Ovis aries: one gene and its partner. The protein of the gene in region 1 purifies or fractionates together with the protein of each later gene. This does not show direct contact. Links are inferred from orthologs where the notes say so. Each region holds a gene or a part of one and is shown on either strand. Other genes may lie near its edges.

Region 1 (4,339 bases):
AGGAATTCAGCCTTCACTGTTTCAAGCCCCCATTGGCCTCCTCCCTGTCGGCAACACACTTGAGGCCTGCCACCCAGATAGCTCTGTATTGTAAGAGGTCATTTCCCAGACCCTCCCCACTATCCCCCTCTCCTCCCTCCTACAGACTTTCATCCCATAGGTAGTATCTCTCCTCCTTTGTCCAGTAGATCGAGCGCTCTCTCAGGCCAAGACCAAGGGCTCTCCTTGCCTAGCCTTTTCTGTCAAGACTGGACACAGGGCACCATAACCATCCTGGTCTGTGTGACTGAAACCTTCCCATTTGGGATCCACCCCCTGCCATTTATCCAATCCTTTCTAAGACTTGATTACATTTTCTCTTGTACCTGGGTTCTCCTGGCAACATGGAAGCTCCTTTCACTGCCTCCCTTCAGCTCCTGTGTGACTCTGTTGACACAGCCATGGCTGGTTGCTTAGGGTGTGCACTGCACAAGTCTGGGCTGCTCTCACAGGACTACAATGCAATGACCTTGGAGTCAGGCACTAGGGCGGCTCTGAGACCCAAACCTCTATCTCTAGTCAATGGTCCCCTTGGCCAGATTTAGACAGAACACCTCATAGGCCACAGAGCAGACTCTTTCATTCACAGGCCAGATTCTCACAGCCTTCACCCTTCCCCAGTTCTAATGTCACCCCCAGGGTGAAGGCCTGATCATTTCTGTCAGTCTGTCCATCCACAGTAGATGGTCCTGAATAGCCACCCCTGTCTGTGTCACATCCCATCCTTGGGTCTCAGTTTCTCTAGCTGTAAAGAGAAGGACCTGAGCCCCTGTCGCCAAGGACTCCCTCTGTTGTAAAGCTCCCCAGTCCATCCTCACAGACTTCGATCTCCATGCACACATTACTGCCTGCTGTCTTCAAGTCAACAAGCTTAGAAGGCTTAGGAAGAGAAGGGACTTTTACAAAATGCAAAGGAGCCTGGAAGAACTCAGAAGAGGAGGAGTAATCCGATCTTGCTAGGGTCGATCCCAAAGGCTCCTTGGGGTGGCAGCTGAGCGTGGGAGGGAGAAGCTTGGGCTGTTGGACCCATGGAGGAGAAAGGCGGGGAGGGGGGGTCCATGCTGCCCTGAGGGAAAGGGCCAAGCATGAAATTGCAGCAGGAAAGACAAGATGTTAGAATAGCACGAGGCACCGATGCTCAGGGCAGAGCAGTTCTTCACCTGTCACAGGAACAAATTCCCACGGACTCTTGGTCTAGAGACCAAATGACACACGGACCAAGGTGGAAGGGCTGGAACCTCTGAGGGTAACATTGGAGAAAATCCATCGTTAGAAGTCCTTACAGTCTGGCCCGACATCCAGGCTCTGCCCAGACCCTCTGGGCCACCTGGATGGAGGTATTTCTTTGAGTTTCGGTTTGCAGATGTTTTCAGAAGGGAAGAGTAACACTTCCTGCCTCCCGGGATGGTGGTGCACATTGCCTGGTGCCTAGTAAAAGCAGCGATTGTTAACTGCTGTTGTGTTGACGGTGTTCGGGTAGGTGAAGTGTGCAAGGGGCGTGCATGAACTTGCACATGCATGCACACAAGGCGCGAGGACAGTGTGGGGGACACACACCTGCCATGTGCTCTTGTGTGAGTAATTGGGGTGGGCAAGGACCCAAGGAGACCGCCTTTTCCAGCCCCATGGGTGTCATCTCCTGGTGCCTCCCTTTGGAGAGGAAAAGGGAGGGAAGTGAGAAAGGGAGTGTTTAGATGTGTTCCTCACTGGCTGTGTCGCACACAACCAGCCCCACCCAGACAGGACTCCAGGGGACAGAACAGGAGTATATTCTCAGGCACCCAAAGCACACACCCAGCATATGTATAGGAGCATCGGGACCTGGTCCAGGATCAGGGCAGCATCCAAGGGGTGGCAGTGGCTTTACACACACACAGCCCAGCAGAATCCACTCCAAGTGTGTGCAGAAGTGAACTCACACTCATTCCATCTCTGCCACCACTGACGGAGAGAGGGTGGGGTTCGTGCCAAACCATTGCTGAGTCCGAGGGGGTGCCATGGCACCTGCCAACGTCACAGGCTGGGTGTGAGTGCATAGGAGATTTACACATGCCAGCCTCGAAAGCCGGCCCTGCTGCGACCAGGCTTGCTGCCACCCTCGTTGCAGCGCCCTCTCAAGTCACCCTCGGGCCCAGAGAGTGCGAACAGGGGCAGCGTCTGGTCCACCTCCTCATCCCAGTGCCCAGCTCTGGGCCTGGCACAAAGCAGATGTTGGTGAATGAACGTCTGGCCGAATGAATGAAGAAATGACTAACGCCCACTCCCTCACACCCCGGACCACACGGCCTGGGTCTGGGGGAGGGCAGAGCCCTGGGGACCGCAGAAGAGCACCCCCCACCCTTCAGACTTCGGGCCCCGAGGCTCTGCTTCCCAGGGTCCGGGAGGGGGAGGGGGCGGGACGGCTCACAAGCCGGTGTGGAGCGGAGCACCCCTCCTTCCCCAGAAGAAATCTGGGTCTCCTGCCTGAGCTGGGGGCGGGGAGGCGGGGGGTAGTTGGTTGTCGCGCCCTGGATAGCGAGAGCGGCAGGACAAGGGGGCGCGTCCTGGTTGGCGCTGGGGTTGGGGCGGGGGGCGTGGGATAGAGCGGCAGCCGCGGGACCTCGCCTTCGTTCCCCGCGCCCGGGTCTGCCCAGGGTCTCGGGAGGGTGGCGATCGTTCCCCTCCGCCGGGCCGGGCAGGGGCGCCGCGGACCTAGCCCTTTCCAGAGGGGCGGTGGCGAGGGGACGCGGTGTCCCACGAGGTGACCGGGGGCGCAGGAAGGACGCGGGGCGCGCGGAGCCCCCTCTCCACGCTCCCAGGGGGCCGGCCGCGCCGCCGCCCGCTCGGCCCGCCCAGAACCTCCGCCCACCTGCGCCGGGGGCTCACCTGGACCGGCGGCCCCCCCACCTCGAGCCGCGCGAGTCCCTCCCCCCGCTGGCGGCCCGGCCCTCCCGGCGCCCGCCCTCACCTGCACGGCCCGCCTTGGCCATGGCCCGGGCGGCGGGCTCCGGCGGCGCTGCGCGCGCTCCTCGCGGCTCCCAGCCCAGTCCCGGCCGCCCAGCCGCCTCCGGCCGCGAGCGGACTCCGAGCGCCGCGCCCCGCGCCCCCGCCCCGCTCGCCGCGGCCGCCGCCACCGCAGCCGCCGCCGCCTCGCCGCTCCCTCCCGCTCCCTTAAAGGCGCCGAGCGGCGGCCGCGCCGGCCCCCCCGCGCTGCCGGGGAGGGCCTGACGGAGGAAGGCGCCCAACGCCGCCCCCGCGGGCCCGCACTCCCGCCCGGGGCCGCGGCCGCCGCTCCAACACGCTCCGCTCCGAGCCCCGGACGGGCGCGGAGACGCGGAGACACTGCGGTCCGGGCGGAGATGGGCACGCGGACCTGGAGTCGGGGGCGAGAGCCACGGACACTGGGCACTAGAGACACCTCTGGGGCCGAAACCCCGACGGGAGAGGGGGAGAGAAATTCGGAGCAGACTCGCTTCCCTGGCACCTGGAGAGTGACGGAGAGCAGAGAGGAGAGACAGGAAGAAGGACCTGGGGAGGGCTCCCGGGAAGCCAAGAGGGAGGTGGCTCCAGGGATCGGAGGCGAGATGGACCCTCCATCAGCCCCCAGTCCAAGGAATCGTTTTCTGGGATCCAGAACCTGGGTGTAAACTAGCCTCAGACGGGAAGGGATTTCTGTGCCCTTAGCTCTAAAAGAAGGTGTAAAAACACATGCAGAGCCCCCCTGGGATTCCAGGCTGGAGCAGTTTGGGGAGGCCAGGAGCCTAGCGGTGAGCAATAGCCCACTTTCGCTTCCCAAACCTAGGGGGCAGACATCCTGGTGAACAGGCCTAGCAGAGGCTAGGAAGGTTGGTGTTGTGGCTTCTGCCTGGTGGTGGCCAGGGATTCACGGTCCAGCCCCAAAAGGGGATGAGAGAAGGCCAGTTGTCTCACTGGCACTTGGGGGGGGGGGTAGCCAGATGGGAGGCTCAGGGGAGAGAGCAGTCTTATCCCTAGCCCAGGGCTGGGCCAGATCCATGGGCCCAACAGATGGCTGACCAGGCTCTGGCAGCTCCCAACACCCCCATAGCCGGCTGCCTGGCTGTCTGCTGCTGGAGAGGGCTAGGGGGTATCTGTTCTCAGGTGACTTTTCAACCTCCCCCAAGCTAAGCTCCCTTGGGAAGATACTCTCTGCTTCCTTCCGAGGAACTGGAAAGGGCTAAAACCCAGTTGCAACCTGTAGCCAAGCTCCCCACCCACCCTGTCGCACTCCGGCTGTTCAGGGAAAAGAATAATTCCATGCTCAGGCTAGCCACGGTCCCAGCTCCAGGGTCCCATTAACCCG
Region 2 (2,854 bases), on another chromosome or scaffold:
TACTCAGTAGAAAAAGTGAATCTATTTTTTCTAGTTTCACAATTTTCTATGCCAACACAGAAGTAACTAAGTGAGACTTAAGTGCAGGGAAGTACACCAGACCCTGCCACGCAGTTACACCAAAAACCCACTTCACGTGGTTGACACAGAGACCTGCAGAGACGGTCATTTTTCACAAAGGAATTCCCCAGGCTTACTCGGTAATACCAAAATTCCATAATGGAAGTTACCTCACATGTCAAATTGGACCGGGGCTGGGGGGAGCTGCGGGGGTACGTTTAAGTATTATTCTGAGATGCTACAAAATCACTAGGCTGGTCAAAAAGCAGTGATTAGAACCAAGGAAAATTAGTCTTTCTTGAGAAGATAGATACTCAAAGAACCTAAGAACAGGATAAAGTAAACAGAATCATGCCACAGGGCAGACACGTAAACTGACATTACAGCACTTTTTTAAAATTCTCATGGTATTTGCTTATTTTGTATTATCTTGAAGACAAGCGGATTATGACCTTCCAAAATACCAAAAATGTCCTGAAATCTTATCAATTCCTTTCCTTAAAGGAATGAGGCCTTTGAACCACAAACACCATGACACCTGCAGGGGTTTCCGTAAGTCATGCATTTCATAACCCACATCGCCACACAGCGTGCTCCCTGACACCCGCCTCAGGACACGACAGACACAACAAGCTATCGAGCAAGAATCTGTTAACAGTTTTATTATTTTTGTGTTAAATACCATTGGACAGGATTGGAAGGATGAAAAACTCAGTCAACAACTGCCTCACAAGGGATAAGAAAAATTCTGCCATGATATTAGCAAAGGTGAAGGAGAAAATTTACACTGTACGAGGCACCATTTCCCCACAGAATACCTCTTGGCATTTCCTGAATGAGTGGGATTAGCAATCTAAATAAATCATATTTCAAGAGGTAACAGCAACAGATAAAATTTAAAGGGATTATTAAAATAACATTTACAAGACTCTGAACAATTCTTGAACTCTTATTAAAACCACAAAGAAAGAACAATTCTTTATTTATGAATTTCATAAAGGACTGAATGTGCAATGACGCCTGCTAGGGACGGTCTGATGGCGGTGGCGCTGTCCGGAGCCCAGCACTCTGCTCTTACGCGTTTCTTTCTAACCGTGAGACCGTTACGGGCGAGGCCTACATGACGCTGTACACACAAAGCATGGCCACCGTGGGCCACATGGTCACCGTGGGCCACACTACCAGTGAGATGGCAGGTAAACGAATCTTTTCTGGTCAAGAGGAAAAAAAGAAATAGCACTCTGCATGCTCCACTCTACAAGATGAACTTCCCTAGAAAGAATCCAATGAAAATGGCTGCAATGACAACAAGGAGTGAAGGAAGAGGACTGGTGACGTTCTCTCTGAAGGACACAGCTGAGGTGGATCCAGGTTTATCCGAATGTGCTACCTTCCTGAGCCGTAAGCCTTCATCCTAGGAAAAAACACAGGCACAAAAAGAGGTTTCAAAGACAAATGTGCATCAGACCACAAGCTACAAACCCACAGGCAGACAACAGAGCCATATGCAGGTGACCTGGGGGGCCCACAGTGTCCTCACAACGGGCCCTTCAGCCACAGACGACCAGAAACAGGTCAGTGCTAGTCAGAGTCCAGCTTACAGACACATGGCAAGCCAGCCCCACACAGGAAGAGCCGGGACCCTGCGGGACTGAGGGAGAGGGAGGGTGTGAGTAAAGGGCTGGCACCCGGCCTGGACCACGGAGGAGACACAGGACCCTGTTTTGTGAGAAAGGCGGGACCCAACAGAGGGGGAGAGCTGCTCGCAGGACCCCGCCCCAAGGCTCTGCGCCTGGACTGGAGACCGCTTTTCTGCAAGGTGATCTCCACTTCCAGACCAGAGCGGCCGCTCCATCCTGACTGATGCTGTCTCACACAGTAGTTTCTGACAGTCAGTCTGGGACTTTAGGGGACAAGGTTCTCAGTAACATGACAGCAGTCACTCAAAGCAGGAGGCTGTTACGACACTTCACCAGCTTCAGAATGACCTGTGCGCCAAGGCAGCCGGCTCCACCTGGCCTGCCACCGTGACCAGAGCGGGGGCACCACTTCACCTCCTCAGCACAGGCCGGTCTCACTTCTCGCACTGCACCCCCGGTGCGTTCTCCAGTAACACCACATGCACTGGGCGCCACGCTGTCTGCCTGCATGACCGGCTGCTCGGAGGGGCTGTGGGTTTGGGTCTTGTTCTGGTTAGTCCTATGTGGACACAATGACTCTCGGTCCCAGAGAGAACTGTAAAAGGCACTCCAGATGACTCTGCCTCCCTGGGTCTGGAGTGTGGCCCGGACATGGGGTAAGAGTTCACAGCACACTCGATGAACAGGCTGGATGAGGAAGCGGGGGTGGGGAGGTGAAGGGCAGTGGGGAGATCCTGCCCAGGAAGGCTGCCGCAACGCCAGCCTCGATGTGAGCTGTTAAAGGGCCAGAGGTCAACTCAGTGCACCAGCGGTCTTCAGGGTTCTTTCATCTTTTAAAAAGTAGGATGCTTCTTCAAACAGCATCTCCTAGAGAACATCAGTCAATTCCATCACCTGTCTCCCAGCCTGGCAGTTCCTGGCATTCAGGCCTCAGCTCTCTGAACACCTGGGCTCAGCAGCCAGGGAGCACACCGTCCACCAAACACAGAACTGAGGTCATGGCAGGTAAAGGAAAAGGGCAAACAGCAGCCCCCTTACAACTGGATGGAGCTGTGTGTGGTTGTGAAACAGAGGGCATCTCTCCACCCTCCAGGTAGGTGTTCAGGGCAGGGGCCTTGGAGAGGGGCTTGGGAGAGGAAGAAACAGCCAGAAAA

What was found.
Region 2: the proteins of PITPNM3 (region 1) and VAPA purify together in Homo sapiens (co-immunoprecipitation; 3 studies listed by BioGRID and IntAct, with this or other methods). This does not show direct contact. The link is inferred for Ovis aries from reciprocal best matches to the Homo sapiens genes PITPNM3 and VAPA.

The regions. Positions count from the first base shown.
Region 1 is NC_056064.1:25,206,258-25,210,596, reverse strand, and holds the start of PITPNM3 (membrane-associated phosphatidylinositol transfer protein 3), read right to left. Parts: upstream 3,105-4,339; 5' UTR 3,009-3,104; coding exon 2,987-3,008; intron 1-2,986. UniProt on the Homo sapiens protein: Catalyzes the transfer of phosphatidylinositol and phosphatidylcholine between membranes (in vitro). Binds calcium ions.
Region 2 is NC_056076.1:42,442,340-42,445,193, reverse strand, and holds the end of VAPA (vesicle-associated membrane protein-associated protein A), read right to left. Parts: intron 1,475-2,854; coding exon 1,316-1,474; 3' UTR 695-1,315; downstream 1-694. UniProt on the Homo sapiens protein: Endoplasmic reticulum (ER)-anchored protein that mediates the formation of contact sites between the ER and endosomes via interaction with FFAT motif-containing proteins such as STARD3 or WDR44.